4 linked regions of the Schizosaccharomyces pombe genome follow. Changing the gene in region 1 together with any one later gene gives a genetic interaction. Each region holds a gene or a part of one and is shown in the gene's direction. Other genes may lie near its edges.

Region 1 (3,991 bases):
TTCGAAGAGGATGGCGGGTATGAAAACAGTGGTTTCGCGTTGAATACTTTGGGAGAATTAGAATTTCGTAGCAATTCACTTAGATCGTGTGTGTATTAATATTTTGTTAAGCAAATTTTCTCATGTTGAACCCAGAAATGTAGCAGAAAACAGAACCTTGGTTGGTTGTTGTTGGTAGAGGGTAAAGTTATCCGCCCCCCCTGAGGAGTTCTTTTTAGTGCTGATGTTCCTTTGATTGCGATAGAGAATTTAACGAAATTTAGTGGAATATAGCACAATTATGTCGAGATAGTAGATGAGTTGGTAAGGAAGATTCGTGATCAATTTATCCCGTTCTGACTTCTTCTTCCTTATTCTATGATAACGTGACTGTGTAGTGCATTATTTCTCCTTAAACTTGTGCGTGATAAATAAATAAATATAAAATAGAACAAGTCGTATATACTAATTTATAGACACATATGCTATCGTCTACAATCTATTTTCATTTTTACTAATTGTTTTAATTATTTTTTCTCATCTTATTGAATTCTTTTCTCGTTTCTATCTTCGTTTCACCGATCGTTTTAGATGCACAAGTAACCACTGTTAACTAGAATAGCAAAGTAGATAGATGAACGATGGAAAATGTTCGATAATGAGAAAGATATAAGCCTCGAATATGAACTAATTATTTCGTACATTTTAATGAAATGATCTTAAAATTGCCTAACAATTTGCTTTTTGTTTGATCATTATGTTGCTTGGTTTAAGGAAGCTGCCATAGCAATTAAATATCAAGAGATATATAGGCCCTTGAATAGAAGTACGAGATTGGAAGGGATCATAGAAGCTTCCTTTGAGTTAAAACTCTGATTTATTAATTTTCTCCGCTTCGGTATGTGAATCGTCAACGGTGTCTAGAAGGTAATCAATGGTAGACTGCTACCGGATAAATAAATAGTGAAGTATCTGTAGTATTGGTTCTACAATTCGCATATGAAACGAAATATACCGTTACTTGATGCTTTATTATTATTTGTTTTATTCTAGTATTAGTTAAGCTGGGAACGGCTTGCTGTGGTTGATAGATAAACATTGTTGGGAAATTTCCATTTTATTAAATTATTAGTATCCCCAGGCAAAAAAAAAAAAAAATTGGTTTATTTAGACTTGGACTCTTTTTACATTTAAAGCGTAGAAACAAAAGAAGAAGAAAAAAACAATTAATATAAACGATAGCATTACGTTAGATGGGTTGCTGAACAAAAAAAAAAAAACACAAAAAACTACAAAATAAAGTAAAAAAAGAAATAATGGTAAAAATCAGAAAAAATAAATTAATTTATATAAAAATACGGAATATTATTAAAGAAATCAATTAAAAAACAGGAAGTTATTTTAAATAGACTTCCATTCAAAAATATCCCTTTTCTATATTTTTGTAATTCATCACCCTTGGCTATCGAGCTAATGAAGATAATACCAACCCTGGATACGTATATCAATGGTGAAGAGTGTGTAATAATTGAGTTCGAAGTTCCATGAAAGAACTACATTATGCCATACTTTATCACGTCTTATCGTATTTCTTTAGGATTCCACTTATTTCACTTCAAGTGGGAGAGCTCTTCAAGCAACTTAGGTATTCGTTACGTCCAAAAACTAAACATTTAACGGCATATCCCGTCAATCTCCTTAATTGTTTTTTAAAGATCGCTTTCTTATGAATTGTGATTTTAGCAATACAATAAAACCAAACACGCCATACAAAAATGTCCACAAACCTCACCTTACTTACTTGTGAGCACTCTCATCTTAACCAAGCATCCGAACTATAAGCAGGCAGTCCAAATCCTCGTTAAACACATATTGTACGTATTAACGAATACGAAAATATTACACCATATTGTGCTGTTTCATTCAGAAATCGGTTTTTCCGTCTCTAATCGTGCCATACGCTATTGTAAATTTGCGCGAAACAAAGCGTCGCTACTCTGAGAGCATAGAGGGAAACTTTTGTCACCCTCAACATGCTAAAGAATACTGGTTGAACAGTTTACTTCCAACCACACGCGTGTAGCAGAAAATTTGAAAAAATGAGTGATCAAGATGCCTTAGATACCCAAGAAAAGGTAGGAATTCAGACTGTGTAGTATGGTGGAATTATTTGCTTACATGATTAGGAACTATTGGAAATGAAAGAGCGAGTTGCTGAAATGGAAGCAGAGGCTGCAAAGCTTCGTGCCATGCAAGAACAACTAGATAATGAAACGGAAGCTTTGAGAAACGATAAGGAATCCATTGATGCTCAAAGTGTCTATGTTGGAAATGTTGATTACAGTGTTACTCCAGAGGAGTTGCAAAGTCATTTTGCTAGTTGTGGATCTGTTAATCGCGTTACCATTTTGTGTGACAAGTTTACGGGACATCCAAAAGGGTATGAATCGAACTTGTGGATGACGTTGGAATGTACAGCTAACCTAGTTTCGTAGATTTGCATACATCGAGTTCAGTGAACCAAGCTTAGTGCCTAATGCTCTTTTATTAAATGGATCGATGTTGCATGAACGACCTTTAAAGGTATGTAAAACAATCACAGTAACTACCAGCAACATGCATTCTAACTTGAAATGTAGGTTACACCCAAGCGGACAAACGTTCCTGGTATGAGCCGTGGTCGTGGTCGCGGACGTGGACGTGGACGGGGTCGTGGCAGAGGAGGATATCGTGGAAGAGCCCGTGGTTTCGCTCCGTATTAGGTAATCGCTTTGATGACTTGAAAAAGTGAAAAATGAATTATGAGCATTCAAATCGTCACCAATAACAGTTAGGTGGGAAAAGATTAGAAATGACATTTAACAGTATGTTGGAAATTAACTAGTATTTCTTTCAACTCATTCGTTAAATGTTTATATTCCTTGTTTATTCTTTTGTGTTGGATTACACGGGTTTCCTTTAAAGTCATGATCCCATTCACTATATTAAAACATATATGCTGACATAATGTAATTCACCGACCCTTCAATTCCTCTTGGGTATGGACTAGTTGATTGCATTTTTGTGTTTACAATGCCAGCTTCATAAAATTTTGTTGTATATTGTCGTTTTTATGCTTCTGATGCACGTTCATAATCTTCAAAATTTTCTTTTTTTTGTTTTTGAAAATTTATTTGCTCAGCTTAATTTCTCGTCATAATCTTGATCCGCTTGATTAGAAAAGGGGTCAGAAAAGGAAGCTACTCTATACACCGTATCACATATTACAGTCATCTCCTTCCTTTCTTGATTAATAAAACTAAACACCTACCAATGTATAATTTCATTATATATATATTTTTGTAATGAGGAGATACTTCTCTGTGTTCACCATTACATTTTGTGTTTAATATAGTGAAACACATTAACGTTCTTCTCTTCTCCTTTGGAGAGTTTAATGCTGAGGATCTTCTTATATTTCTAATAAATTTCTTGATTCTGTTTAATGATTTTATATAGAAAATGTATGACTTTCTTTTCTAAGTCTACAAGTTCATTTTTATATGTAATAATTGTGAGGAAATTAATTTTTAGTCATCATGATGTAAAATGACATTTAACAAAAAAAGCTTGGTGTATATCTAATTAAGTAGTTTTTACATAGTCGATTTTTATGTTCATATATTGTACATGTCGAGTCAATTTCTTTTAGCTACCTGCGGCATATTCCGGATTCCAGTACAAATAATTTCCTTCCTGCCTTTTACCCAACTCGTATAGGGAAGCGATAAATAAAAGTAACAAGGATAATCAAGTCAGTCGTTTCTACGCTGTGCCACTCAGATTCGATGACCTTTGTTTACTCTTTCGATTTGCCAAATATTAGCTGAGCGGATATTCGCTGAACTTGCGAGTTACACCTATTGATCCACTATTTAGCCAACCAACAGGTATTTACACTAGGATATTCCAGAGAGCATTCGAGCATTCGAGCATTCGTCTGTCGATTTATAAAAAGAGCCAATTTAGATCG
Region 2 (6,039 bases), on another chromosome or scaffold:
TGCTCATGTTCCTTCATCTCCTGTGTTCATGCTTCCGTACGAAAAGACCTGCAACGCTTCCGGCCCATCGGACGCTGCATTTTACTTTTTTAGATGGAGCTCTGATCGTCCATCTCTCCCATTCCTCCCGGCTACTAAACCCGGAGTTAAGATAAAGGTGCGCCTGCTATCCGAAGAAAATAAACTCTGCGTAACCGAAGCAACAATGGTCGTGGTAGCAAAAGGAGTATAGGGTGAAAAGAGAAAAAGATAAAAGAGAGAAGAGAGGAGAGGCGAGAAAGGAAACAAGAATTATAATTAAAAAAAAAAAAAAAAGAAAAAAAGAGATTTTCTCTTAAGAATCAAAACATACTGAATGCAATTGTTTTGCCGAATACTACGATTTTTGACGTATTGCACTTTTTTTGGCTTATTGCTGGATCAACATGTATAAGAGTCTATTTAAAGGATTTCCGTTGTAAAAATACAACTTATCACACTCACACGTTGACACTAAGAGAAAAAAGCTATAGCGAACAATGATACACACACATATACATACGCTGTTGCTATTCACATACGCTGCCTTGATACACACTGTCTTGACTATAAGGAAAAAAGGTTTGGCTTGGTCACAAGTAAAATGTAGCGATGACTTTCGTACTCTACTAATGATTGTTTAGTGAAGAATGATAAAAGATAGTAGTGTGTATTGATTATACTTGTATAATGCAGTTGAATTTACTATGAATAATTTGGAAATTTCGCACAACTCGTTGGTCCTCTTAAAAAAGGAGAAATTTCAGTTTGCGAATATTGGTTTCTCTCTCTCTTTACTTTGCTTTGCTTTGATCTGCTCTACTATACTCTACACCCTTGCCTTTCTGCTTTCTTTGTTTGGTTGCAAAATTCACAGATCGCAATGAAAAAATGTTTTAAACTGCGAACTAATAAGTAGAATTGATTTTGCAATGAAAAGTAAAATTAAATTAAATAGAAAAAGAAAATTTTAAAAAGAGACAAAGAAGAGTAAGGAAAAAAAAGCCCCCCCCCCCCCCCCCCCGAAAAAAAAAGAAAAACAATGTATTCATGGTAAAAACAAAAAAAGTTTTTACTCATCATTCATTGTATCGTTGATCAATTAAAGAATACAAAAAAAAAGTAAGCATAAACCCATTTGGAAACATTGCATCAAAGGATTTTTCATTTTCATTTTCATTTTTATTTTGTTTTATTTTATTTTATTTTATTTTTTTGTTTACCATCATTGATGAAACAGACTAATGAAAAAGAAACTCTAGTACATTTTTATTTTTATTTTTATACTATTGAGCTTTAAATATTAGAGTATTTTATTCTATTGAATTTGAATTGAATTTATTTTAATTTTGGTTAAATTAATTGATTTTCTTTTCTTTGAAATTTTTATTTTATTCAATCTTTTTACACTTTCTAACGTACTACCAAAGTCCCTAAATACCGTATCGCCCTTCTACCTAAAATTCTTTCAAAATGACACACTAAACCACAGTATTTGCAAAAGAAATACTCACCCATCCCACTCATTGATTTCAATAATCTTCAATTCTCAAACACAAAACGACATCCTTTCAACTACTTCTAAAAGAATAAATATTTTCCTTTTTTTATACTATTCATCTTATCTAAACTCCTCCTGCATCCATTTCTCTTCTCCATTTTTTACCCATCTCTCACCTAACCTATATATACTTATATGTAAACAAACCTACTACTCTCTATACTTTCCATACCAAATATCCTCAAACATCCACGCAAACCTCCAATCTTTTTAATTATTCAAACTCTTTAATACCATTCCTATCTAAATTTTTTACTTCAAACTTTTTTTTTTTTTTCTCATTTCTTTTCGCTCTATTTCTGTCACCAACTCTCGTTCCCTGCCGGCTCCTTGTGTACACTTTGCCCTACCTGTCCTAACCACCAAACCCTCTATTGTTCGGAAAACAAACACTACACATGCATTGAATGACTCTGCAGTCTACAGATTCCGCTATTGTGATCGATTCTGAAGCTGATGTTGACATTTCAAGCTCACAAGCTTCTCCTTCCAAGGTTTGTCGCGTATTTCCCTTTCTTTCTGTTCGCTTTTTTTTTAACCCTCTTTTTAGGACAATATTGCTTTGTCAGAACACAATGTTATAACTGTTCTTGATACTCCTCAAAGATCTACTCAATGCGATAGTTTGCTAAAAAGTTTCAGGTAAGTTGACAAATATTGTTGCCAGCATTTCCTTCCTTTCCACACTTTTCTTCCACATCTCGCTAATCGTTCATTTGGGGTCAGTACTCCTTTAGTTTCCGGCTCCGAAGATGTTCTCCCTAGTCCCCGTGATGCCCTTAATATCACTAATAAAAAGTCGGTTACCGATAATCTTTTGCTCTCTTTAACTTCTTCAAACCAGTCAACAAACACGAATTTAAATCCTTCTTCACGCGTCGAAATCATTAATTTAAACTCTTCTCCCCCTAATTCCCTTTCCTCGCAACCAAAACACCAAGAATTTCATTTATTCCATACTCCCACCATTCCTAGGACTACACAATTGTCATCGAAAACCTCCTCTCCCATCGTTATTCCCGACGACAATGAACAAGTGGCTTCCCCTTTATCTAAAAAAGCTGCTTCTTTGACTTCTTCACCCTTAAAAGATTTCCAGTCCTCCCCGCCGCTCTCCACAGTCCTTCAAAAATCCCACTCCCTTCACGATATACTACTGGACACGAATGATGACGATCATTTCCCATTTACCCAGAGTCCGCTAACAAAAACAAAATCTTTCAACGATGCACTAACATCCTCATCCTCTATACTAAAGCCATGCATGCCATCCATCGCTAGTCCTACTTCTAATCGATTATCACATGCCCCTTCTACGCCTAATTTATTTCCTAACCAAGACAGCTCCAATACAATCGACCTCATCAATAACCGTTCCAAAACCTCCGTAGAAAATCAAGAAAGAACTTTCAATCTCACATCTGATGTGCACTTAGATAGCCCGACCTCTCCATCCAAGCATTCTTCAATTGAACCCAATACTAGTCAGGAAGATAGTTTTCAAGAACTTCCTTCTCTAAACAAACTTTCCATTCAAAGTAGAGCTTTTAAAAAAATGAGACTACCCAAAATTTCAAGGACTACCGATACGCCTCCTGCCTCTACTTCAAATTCAAATAAAAAAAATTTGGATAAATTAAAAAAAATGAGAAAATTATGCTCTAGGAGCTTGGAACCGTACGAGCTAGACTCTAATACACAACGTAAGAGGAAACGTTACGAAGATTCTTTGAAAAAATCAAAAACTTTAGATAAGGTTGACAGCTTGAATAGAAAGATGGCGAAAGAATTGGACAGAAAGAATTCAAAGGAACTTCAAAAAATTAACAAAGTTAAGAGAACCAAAGAAGAATGCCTATCTGAGATAATTCTTTTATCGCCGGATGATTGGGCTTCATCTTGGTATTCAACTGTTCGCTCTCAATTAGATTCATACAACTGCCAATTCGTTGTCAATTCAAATCAACCAAAAGACTCAATTATGTGGAAAAGGAAGGTAAACAATGTGTTTAATTCTTCTACCAACCGGTTTGAACTTAGCATAGAGCATGAACAAATCGAACCTTTTGCCCTACTACGGTTGAAATGCCGGGATTTTATAAAATACATCGAAGAGGACCAAGCTGATACTTTTTTTCATGAAATGTCTGAAAAGTTTAAAGGCTGTAAGCTAATACTGTTGCTGGAAGGCATCCCAAACTATTTTAAATCTCTGAAAGCAGAATTAAATCGTCAATATGCAGCAGCTGTTAATAGCGGTACCAGACCTTTGTTATTTGGTTCTTTATCAAAATATCAAAACTTTACTAAAGAAAAGTTAGAGAGTGAAATCGTCCGCTTCAGTTTCGAACATAGTATTCTTATAAACACTTCAAATGACGAAAAAGAAACCGCTCAATGGATAGTTTCCTTTACCGGCGACATAGCTTTATCTCGTTACAAGCACTTTTCTAAATTTTCAGCTAGAGCCTCTACTACCGAAATAGGACATGTCAAATCCGCCGATAGAATTGAAAACTCTCTAAATTTTATGTTGCGGCAAATACTACGAGTTACACCTAACATTGCTAACGCCATATGCGATCAATTTGACAGTATACCATCTTTAATTCATCATCTAAAAACTCACGGCGAGGAATCATTAACCAACGTTGTCATCCAATCTAGTATTAGTGAACGAAATTTAGGTCCGGTTTTATCGCGCCGTATATATAACACTTTCTTATGTAAAGAAGCATCCAGTGATGCACCATAGTGATCGGTCATTATTTGTATTTCATTAATTGTTATCATGATATTTTTTCCTTTTTTTTTCTATCTATGAAATTTTCTTATGATATACTTTCTTCTAACTAAAAATTAACTAATATCGGTTTCTAACTAAAGCACCTCATCTTCTATATCGTCGGTAGTATTCGTTCAAACTTTCTAGATCAATCAGATTCCAAACTTTCATCGTACTGGTTCAAGGCACGTCTAATGGCTAACACATTGTCTACAATGACAGCATCAACTCCAAAACGTACTTGGCGTCGGACATTGTCAACATCATTATTGAGAACACCATAGGTGTAGCAAGATAAACCCAATTGTTTAACTGCCTTGATCAGCCTCGGGCACATAATGAGCGGTTCACAAGCACTAACGATACCCAGAAAACTCCACTGTGAGGCAAACTTTAAAGCTTGTCTAAGCGATGCTGCACGAACGTCTGTTCGGTAAGCGGTACCTCCTTCAGTCAAAAAAAGAACAGGATTAGTCGATTTCAAAGAAAGTAAGATGCATATATCAGGATTAAAACTAGAGAAAATATACTTTCTTTTACCACCATACTTTTTGATTATCGATAGAATGGTATCCACGTAAAAGTTATAATCATAAGCTATAGGGAGCAATTTCTCTTCCTCAGCTTCACTTAGCATGGGGTACTTAAATTCCACATTAAGTCCTACGGATTGTGGAACTTCCTTCAAAACATCCTTTAAAGTTGTGAACGGTGCACAAATCGTATGACCAAGGGCATTACCCTTATATACTTTAGGCTTCAAACGTGCGTTTTCTTCAGCAAATTCACCGAAATTAACCTGTGATCCTGAAGGTGTAAATGAGGAACTGTAGGCCCTAGGACGTCTCTTCTGCTGAATGTCACTTGCATCATCTTTAATTTCTTCTGAAGGAGAGTGGGAAGCCCCTAAGAATTGCTCCAAAGTCAGCGAATGCACTTGTGCATCCGTTCCGGTTTCGTTTACGATAAAATCATGGTATACCACTGGGACCATGTCTTTAGTCATTTGCACATCTAATTCAACGTAAGAAGCACCAAGATCTGCCGCTTTTATAAACGATTGTAAAGTGTTCTCGCCAAGTTGAAGACTCAAACGATCAGGCTGATTCTTACCAAGTCCACGATGTCCGATAACCGCAACACCATTCGATTTCCCTGATTCTGATGTAGTTGTGGCAGATTTGTGTAAAGAACGCTCAGCGTCTTCCAATGCAGTGCGACTTACGTTGGAAACTGCTTCCAGCGATAAGGCAGGGGTACTTATGCCATCATTTGACGAAAATCTATCATCAACTGTCACCTTAGAAATAAGAACATCCGCATTAACATGAGCTATTGGTTTAAGAGTTTTACTCGAAAGTAATGGTAAGGGTGCCAAAGGTTTCAACGACTGCATATGATTCCCCAAATCAGATACCAGAGAAGTCAAGCAACATACAGTTCTCCCTAATATTTTATGGGATCGATTTGCTAACAAATCAATTGTAATAGTTGCTTCTTCTGTATTTCTTGTAACGAAAACCAATTCATACGGTGGAGAAGACCCGTTTACAGGTTGCGGACTATTTTCTTGTGCGGCATCATAATGCAAATGAATAGAGTCGTCGGCAATTTCATCAGGCTCCGCCAAATTCTCTAAGCAAACTTCACCGGCATTATCAAAATGGGAGCGAGG
Region 3 (4,064 bases), on another chromosome or scaffold:
ATCTTGTGTTTCATCATACTTTTTTATAAAATGCGTAGAGCAAATTCCTGACGAGCTTCTTTATAAGAGAGAATTTCATAAGGACTTTTCAAAGTTGTATAAAGAAATACTGGATATATTTAATTCAACTACCGTTAACTTCCTGATGATTTTGTGCAGCAGATTCTTCCACCGATTGGCGGTCAACAAAGTTGTACAGGAAGATATATTATTTGCCATTGACAATGTATATAATGATTTAGCAGAAAGTTTACACGAGCAACTCAATGCATACATTCAAAGAAAAAAAATAAACAAAAAAAATCAGTTGAATGGCAATGAGTAAGGATTTTTCTTTTTGTTATTAGATTGCTAACTTTACAAGTGAAACGCAAAACTTGGTTTTAGCTTTAAATAAGTTTGGATGCTTTGCAAAGGAAATGGTCTGTCTGCGAGACGTCAATGATTGGAACATTAAACTGTCAGAAAAATTATGCGAAATTTGTAGTCTTGAAGTCGGTCCTATCGTCTGTTATTCTTCTTTGAAAGTTTTATTTCTTCTTCTGCTTTCTGATATGAGAGATAGAAACTGTATTTTTACAAATATATTTTTAAAAGCAGCTAAGGTTGCGAAGCAAAAAAATGGAAACTCCTTTTTAAGCAAAGTTTTCGTAAGTCTCTAATGTTGCTGTCTATCTATCTTTTATGACTGTTGATTTCAATCACATTTAGTGGAGTAAAATGCTAACTATAAGCAGATTACAATTACGATGCTTACATTGTTTCTTGGATCAAAGGCAAATAATTGGGATATAAATTTTAGTGACGATGACTTGAAATTGATGAATGAAGAAGAAATCATGGAACAAATTGAAACTTTTAAAGCATGGTCAATGAAATTTAAAGAGAAATCATCTGGAAACCCTTCTTACTTTTTTTCACCCGAAGATACTGAGGAGAAGGAATTATGGAATAATCTGTTTGAGGATTGGTATCCCAATCGTGCTAGAGATCCTGGAACACTGAGTCATTTAGTGAAAGGTTTAAAAGAAACAGCTGACCATTTATCATAAAACGAAATTTTAACACTAATTAAACCCCGAGGGAAAAGAGATAAGAAAGCACATGTGCTAACTTTCTTATTGAGGCAAGGAAACTTATTAAACAAAAGGAAAAGACATTAAACTCTATTATGTATTTCCTATATGATTATTCCAACGAAACTAACTCAAAAATACCTCAATTTCAAATACTCAATTTTAATTAAACCCTGAAGAGTGGGAGCTCGTGTGCTCGCTAAAACTACAATGCATGCCATTTCTTTCTTTCCAGCCCTTTGTCTATATATGAGTTTTCTTAGGACTTACTGGTTAATCAAAAGGTACGCCTTATGTTACTAAGCAATAGAAAATGTTTTTGAGGGATGCATAAATTAAGTTTAAAAAAACAAGACATTAAGATGTTTAACATATCAATTAATTTTATTTGATTTCAATAAAATTGATAATTATTTGACACTTTAAAATAATTTGGTGGTGCTACAAGTTATGTAGGCAATAGTTGATCGTAGGCAAGTTGGATTCAACCAACACCTTTTTGTGCAAGGTATTGTAAAAAAGGGTTGACTTCATCTCATTAAGTTAGTTTGAGTCAAAGAATATATTTGAGGAAAGACTCGGCTTCAATATCAATTTTTTTTTCGATAAAAAAGTGTACTGGCTAAGAATTGAATTACTTGACAGAATACCGAAATGTCGACTTCTTTTGCTTGCACGACTTGTACTGTGGCTTTCAATAATGCAGAATCACAGAAAATACATTGGAAGTCTGACTGGCATCATTATAATCTGAAGAGAAAGGTTGCTAGCTTGCCGCCGTTGAGTGCTGAGGTGTTTGCTGGAAAGATTTTGTCCATTCAAAAGCAGAACGAGGAAGTCCAGAAAAAAGCAGAATTTTATCAAAACTGTGAAGTATGTAATAAAAAGTTTTATTCAGAAGGCGCCTATTCATCACATATGGCTTCGAAGAAGCATCGCGATAACTTGAGCAAATTTCAAAGAAACAGCCGTATTAAGAAACTTCAAAGTGAAGATGCAAGTAGTATTGCTTCTTCAACCTTGTCAATGGGTGAACCTGTAGTTGATAGCGAAATTGAGGAAGAAGAAGATTTAGCTTCACAACTGACATCAAGGGCGATATCCCTTTCCAACTTATCTCTTCATGGTCGAGAAAGTGAACCCTCTAAAACTGAATTGGCTACTTCCATACCTCAATCGAACGAAGCTTCCAAGTCTCATCTATTTACACAAGAACCAACTCCTGAAGAAATTGAAGCTGAACTTGCTCGTCGAAGTAGTCAACGTCTTTCACCAAGAGATTGCCTGTTTTGCGCAGCCTCTTTTTCTTCATTTGATACATGCAAGAAGCATATGAAGGCTTCTCATAGCTTGTACATTCCTGAGCGGGAATATTTGGTAGATGAACCAAGTCTATTCGATTATTTAGCAGAGAAAATTTCTATCGGCTTTACTTGCCTTACCTGCAATCGTGAATTTAAATCACTAGAAGCTGTTCGTGCCCATATGCAGCAAAAGGGGCATACCTCTATTGCCTATGATACAGAAGATGAACAGCTTGAACTCTCTGATTTTTATGATTTTACTACATCGTATCCTGACTATGCAGTAAAGCAAGACGAAACTGTCGTAGAAGAAGATGGAAGCTCTGGTGAAGGAGACTGGGAAGATGTTTCTGATGATTCAGATAACTCCAGCTTAGATAGTCTTGAAATGGGTCGTGTACCCATTGCTGACGAATATGAACTTCATTTACCCTCTGGTAATCGTGTGGGCCATCGTTCGTTATCTCGCTACTTCCGCCAAAATCTTCACTCTAGTTCTACCGCTGTAGGAGATGGTGCTTCTATTCATCAGAACGTCGCCAGACGTGCGATGAGTGGTAATGCCCGAGCTTATAGACAAGCTGTTGAAACAAGTATAGCTGGTGTTCGCGATGGCCGTAAGAATTATAGTGCCTCTCATATCAAATCATTCCAAGACCAAAGAAGAAGAGAGGAATTTGCTAACAAGATGGGTATTAAGAATAACACAAAAAAGCATTTCCGCGATGCGCTTCTTCAATAGTCTATTTATTGTACGAGGCCTTTTGTTTCTTTCATTATATACTTCATACTCCACATTCTTTCGTCTCATATTTCTCCTTACTTCCGGTGTTCTTTATTTTGGGGTTTTCTGGGTTTTTTTAACTTATTTACGCTATTTGGAAAAAAAAAACGTCCTAATATGGTTCTTCTTTTGAGAAATGGTTAAATTTTAGCTCGTTGTTTGTAAATTTATAATATTCTTTTACTAAAACTTGTTGTGTCCTATCTGTCGTACAATGCTTATTTTCTCATAAAAAATCATAGATTTCAACTATTCTAGTTTCTTGAATTATCTATACATTCCAATGTTTATATCTGAAAAGATTGAATAAATGCACTAGGTACGCCTTTTTCCTATGCGTCTATATTTGTAATATTAAACAAAGGCAATGTAACAAAGCAAAGAAGGAATCAATAAGGAAAATGCTCGATTCAAGCAATTTCCGTCTCCTTAAAAAATGACATGTAGTAATAAAAGAGCGACAAAATGATATTTCGTACACATAATTTTCAAATACACTCTCAAAAAAATTTGAGAAATGAATGTAAGTACTAAATAAAGGCTCCAAAATTTTACCTTACTCTTGATTTTGGTTTTCTTGAAGTCTCTCGAAAATCAGATCTTTAGCCTTGACAACGCCAGCTCGACTTCCTTGGACTACTACAATTTCATCGCCTGGAGTACGAGGAACATCAATTTTAACTTGGGCGATCTTTCGGATCTTATTAATAATAGAGCCACCAGAACCGATTATACGACGGTGCAAGTTCGTTGGGATACCCAAGTAAGCAATACAATTTTCCATAACTTGCTTGATAGATTTTTCCAATGAAGCGATAGCCTTTTCAACATTTTCCTTATGTCCTCGAACAGCCCACTCAGATGAAGAAGAACCAGTGTAGTCGTGAGTTACCAGTTTCC
Region 4 (4,413 bases), on another chromosome or scaffold:
TAAGAAACAGAGGAAATTGGAAATCCATTTTTGATTCGGAAAAAATCCACTTGTTCATCATAGAAAGAAGTAAAGAAAAGAAATACCTAAAAACAATACCAGTTAGTAAACACAATGACTGAAGGAGGGGATCATACCAAGCAAGCACAATGAGTACTATTATGACTACCCTTGTGATCCAATGTTGAGGACGGTCAGGCTCATTCTGTGATACGGGAGCTACTCCTTGTTCAATATCCTTTACAATAGCCTCCGGGGCCGGAGATGGAGTGAACTCGGGCTCTCGCTCGACTTTCAAAATCGGATCTGTCTCCATTTATAAGACTAGCTAACTGTACAATGTGGATGAATTAAGCTTGTTCCTCAACATATGCTTTAATTTCTTTTATGAAAGAAAGAAAACAACTTTAAGAGGTGCTAGCATAAAACTCTACAAAGCACGCGTATGTGTGGTAAAGGGTGGCCGTACACCAGAGGATGCTAATAAGTGAAATAATTGGAGAGAGTTAATAAAGAGATTTCAAAGCAATTAATCACAAAAATATTTAAGACGCTATATTTAATAGAGGACAGTTGCCTTAATATGGAGATACCTTCGGAAACCTATGTCTCAGCGAATTGCTTCATTTCACATGCATCAGGTGGCTCATTGTGGATATTTTCGAACAGTTAATTACGACACAATTAGAATAGTAATATTAAATAATACAATAAATTGACAATAATTCCGCTACTTTTGAAGGTTCACTTTTTTAAGGCATTGCAACCTTTGTTTTCATCATCAGTCAATGAGTAGGAAAAATAACTTGTAGGTACGCATCCTGAAGATATATTAAGTTGTATTCTCTTATTCATTTGATTTTAAGCTAAATGGGCATCTACAGTGTCAATATCAAAACTGCATTAAAAAAGCGCTCACTGTCAAAAACGTCTTCGCAATACAAGCTACACTCTTTATACTTGCTTTCTTGTTCACAATTGGTGGATTAAAAGGTGCGTCAAACTAAGTAACTCGGTATTAGATATGCTCTTATTTTGAATCCTTCAAACCCGCTACGATCTTTTTCCATATTTACTACAAATCTTTCACTTCCATTACAGCTCAACCTCTCACTACAAATAACTCAAATACGCCGAGTATAACAGATCACCATTCAATTTACAATTATATCAGCATACTGGTATATCAAAATAGAACCGTGCATCAAAACGCACATATTTTATTCCTCAACAACGGTGGTCTCCATCTTAGGGTTGGCAACGTCAACAGCTTGAACGTAAGTGTAGAGAGCCTTGTCGTCCTCGTCACTACGCTTACGAGAGAGACGAAGGCGAAGACGGTGAGGCACATTTCTGATACCACGCTTCCAAACTTCCTTGTTCAAAGAAGGGTCGACGCGGACCTCCTTGGTTTGCTATAAAAAATACAGTTAGTAGGACTGAAATTTTGAGAAAGGAAGAAAGGAGGAAATATTGTAGCCATGAATACGAAATATAAAGACTTTTATACTAATCTCACTTATTTTTTTACTTACCATATGCTTTTGGGCGAATGCAACAATTTCCTTGATGGCACGAGGAGCACGCTTCTTGAAAGAAACTCCGTAGAGTCTCTTGTGCATGTGAATCGTGTAATCACGAGTGACGACTTGGTTAATAGCGCTCTTCTTAGTGTTGGCCATTGTAAGAGGTTTTGTGCACAGGTTTGTTTCCGAGTGATCCAAAGTTTCGTTTGCTTAAAATGTGACGGCGTTTTCTGTTAGGGTAGGGTAGGACTGGTTGTTTTCGTACACTATGCTGCCTTAGCGTTGTGTTGCACATAAAGTACATCCCAAGTAACAGCCTGCCATTTGAAGAACTAGGGCCTCTCCAGCGACCTAAGTTGGTCGTGTTGACAGCCGTTTACCAATTTTCATAAGTTTGAGTGATTTTGCGTTTCGCATCCAGAATTGGAAATTAAATTACTTACTATTTGAAAATGCCTGGGAATACCAAGAAAAGCGCGGATTCTGGCTTGACTGCCAAGGTATGTTTTTTGCTCTATGATGATACTAATTGTTCTGGATGCAATTCCACTGTTGAGTATTTTATTAACTAAACATAGGATTGTAAGTTTTTTAATTCAGTGATTGAGTTGGTAGGATATCGGGTTTTCAGTCCGTTTAGTCATTTGGACATTTCCCTCAAGTATATGCTTCCGGCTTATACTTAACCATAGACTCAACGATTCGTCTGTCAGTCAATGACTGTTCTTAATACATACCTTGCCAAATGAGGTTGATTATTTCTGTTTATCTGACATTCGTTGAAAAGATACTTTTAATCCCAACTTAAACCACATTAACTTTTCCCGTCAGTCCTTGCTAATAAATAGATTATTTTGACAGGTATTTTTACTGTTTTATTAATCGCAACAATCAACGACGTAGAAGCAATTTAATTAGGTTTTCGATCTCTTCGTGAAGGCAATTGTCATCAAGAGTTATAAATTTTTATCTTTTTAAAATACTTGAATTGTGATTTTTTGATTATCCGATCAGTATACTAATTTTCAGTTACTCTCATTGGGGAATTCATGAAGAAATGTTAAAGGATGATGTCCGTACGCTTTCCTATCGCGACGCAATCATGCAAAACCCACATCTCTTTCGTGATAAAATTGTTCTTGATGTATGCTTACCAGTTATTTAGGATAGATCTCGTTTTTCTTCACTTACATATTTTTTCTTTCGCTTGCTAACCTGTTAGGTTGGATGTGGTACCGGTATTCTTTCCATGTTTTGCGCTAGAGCAGGCGCTAAACACGTATATGGTGTATGTTTATTCCATTTATCTCCCCTGCATAAATTGTTAACGAAACGTAGGTTGACATGAGCGAAATTATCCACAAAGCTGTACAGATTGTTGAAGTTAATAAACTTTCCGACCGTATTACTCTAATACAAGGCAAAATGGAAGAAATACAACTTCCTGTGGAAAAAGTAGATATTATTGTATCCGAATGGATGGGCTACTTTTTACTTTACGAGAGCATGCTCGACACAGTTCTCGTTGCTCGTGACCGCTATCTTGCACCTGATGGTCTTCTATTCCCCGATCGCGCCCAGATTCAACTAGCAGCCATCGAAGATGCTGATTACAAATCTGAAAAAATTGGATGTAAGTTTAAGTTAAGTATCTGTCGGTATCTTTCTAACCATTCATTTCTCAGTTTGGGACGACGTTTACGGTTTTGATTTTTCTCCCATAAAAAAGGATGTCTGGAAAGAACCTTTGGTTGATACGGTTGATCGCATAGCCGTCAATACCAATAGTTGTGTAATTCTTGATTTAGATTTAAAAACTGTGAAAAAAGAAGACCTCGCATTTTCCTCTCCCTTTGAAATAACCGCTACTCGCAACGATTTCGTTCATGCTTTCCTTGCGTGGTTTGACATCGAATTTTCCGCTTGTCATAAACCTATTAAGTTTAGTACCGGCCCATTCTCCCGTTACACTCATTGGAAACAAACTGTTTTCTATACTCATAAGGATCTCACTGTAAAGGTACATTTTTTCTCTTTTACAAGATTTACTAACACCACTTCTATAGGCCGGTGAATACATTAGAGGTACAATTACTTGCAAACCTGCAGAAGGAAACCACCGCGAACTTGATATTGATATTTCATACACTTTCAATCCACGTGAGCCAAATCGCGAGCCTGTTTCAGAAGACCTTTCTTATAGAATGTAAGCTATTCATAGTCATTTATCACACTTAAATTACTAACTTTGGCAGGTGTTAAATTTTACAAAAAAAAAAGGATTTAGGTTTTTTAGTTTCTAATCACACATTTATCATTGCAAGTGCTGTAAAAGAGTATTTTCTAAATTGTTTTTTTATATGTAACAGTCATAGCGATAGTTAACAACATCCAATTATGTGAAGGTTTCAAATCCATCCAATATAATCATTGCATTTATTAAATACCAAACACCATCTTTTTAAAAAATGTTGTTATAAAAAGCTATCTTTTCACTAGTATGTCTGACGAATTTCAGAATCTAAAGATATTAAATTTTCTTTGCAACTTTTCGTGGCAGTATCGGGTGCACCTAGCGCATTTTTGTATTTCTCTATTGCTTCCAAAACAAGAGGAGCATCAAAACTGGGTTTGGAGGTTTGAGCAACTCCGGCTCTTACACTCACTTCATGCCATAATTTTAATAGATGGGTAACTTCTTTTATTAGGAAAAAAAGCCTATCTTTTCCTTGCCAAGGCTTTTCTCTGCGATCGTAGAGCTGGTTTAGTACAATAAATATTAATTCATGAGAAACGCCGGCTCCCAAGAATGTATCAATAACCCAACCAGTAGCTACCGCTTCACCTTGTTGATCAAACGCATATCTTTCAGTAATGTCAATTATTT

What was found.
Region 2: mutations in pab2 (region 1) and eme1 together harm fitness more than expected from each alone (negative genetic interaction), as found in Schizosaccharomyces pombe (2 studies listed by BioGRID).
Region 3: mutations in pab2 (region 1) and rei1 together harm fitness more than expected from each alone (negative genetic interaction), as found in Schizosaccharomyces pombe (2 studies listed by BioGRID).
Region 4: of pab2 (region 1) and rmt1, changing one suppresses a phenotype caused by changing the other (phenotypic suppression), as found in Schizosaccharomyces pombe (one study listed by BioGRID).

The regions. Positions count from the first base shown.
Region 1 is NC_003423.3:1,938,844-1,942,834, reverse strand, and holds pab2 (poly(A)-binding protein Pab2), read left to right. Parts: upstream 1-2,046; 5' UTR 2,047-2,078; coding exon 2,079-2,114; exon of another isoform or gene 2,115-2,165; coding exon 2,166-2,419; exon of another isoform or gene 2,420-2,474; coding exon 2,475-2,562; exon of another isoform or gene 2,563-2,618; coding exon 2,619-2,741; 3' UTR 2,742-3,464; downstream 3,465-3,991.
Region 2 is NC_003424.3:3,295,815-3,301,853, reverse strand, and holds eme1 (Holliday junction resolvase subunit Eme1), read left to right. Parts: upstream 1-1,940; 5' UTR 1,941-1,986; coding exon 1,987-2,073; exon of another isoform or gene 2,074-2,129; coding exon 2,130-2,221; exon of another isoform or gene 2,222-2,305; coding exon 2,306-4,334; 3' UTR 4,335-4,512; downstream 4,513-6,039. Other genes in the region: glycerophosphoryl diester phosphodiesterase Gde1, read right to left, coding at 4,513-6,039. UniProt on the Schizosaccharomyces pombe protein: Interacts with mus81 to form a DNA structure-specific endonuclease with substrate preference for branched DNA structures with a 5'-end at the branch nick. Typical substrates include 3'-flap structures, D-loops, replication forks and nicked Holliday junctions.
Region 3 is NC_003421.2:1,220,674-1,224,737, reverse strand, and holds rei1 (ribosome biogenesis protein), read left to right. Parts: upstream 1-1,556; 5' UTR 1,557-1,730; coding exon 1,731-3,122; 3' UTR 3,123-3,499; downstream 3,500-4,064. Other genes in the region: meiotic cohesin complex STAG protein Rec11, read left to right, coding at 1-321, 365-650, 738-1,052; vgl1 (vigilin), read right to left, coding at 3,721-4,064.
Region 4 is NC_003424.3:5,015,395-5,019,807, reverse strand, and holds rmt1 (protein arginine N-methyltransferase Rmt1), read left to right. Parts: upstream 1-1,888; 5' UTR 1,889-1,978; coding exon 1,979-2,026; exon of another isoform or gene 2,027-2,104; coding exon 2,105-2,108; exon of another isoform or gene 2,109-2,374; coding exon 2,375-2,387; exon of another isoform or gene 2,388-2,555; coding exon 2,556-2,670; exon of another isoform or gene 2,671-2,748; coding exon 2,749-2,814; exon of another isoform or gene 2,815-2,864; coding exon 2,865-3,159; exon of another isoform or gene 3,160-3,211; coding exon 3,212-3,546; intron 3,547-3,592; coding exon 3,593-3,732; intron 3,733-3,741; exon of another isoform or gene 3,742-3,781; coding exon 3,782-3,788; 3' UTR 3,789-3,849; downstream 3,850-4,413. Other genes in the region: phosphoenolpyruvate transmembrane transporter Pet3, read right to left, coding at 1-86, 138-316; rpl31 (60S ribosomal protein eL31), read right to left, coding at 1,221-1,415, 1,536-1,682; nucleoporin, WD repeat Nup155, read right to left, coding at 4,022-4,413. UniProt on the Schizosaccharomyces pombe protein: S-adenosyl-L-methionine-dependent protein-arginine N-methyltransferase that catalyzes both the mono- and asymmetric (type I) dimethylation of the guanidino nitrogens of arginine residues in target proteins.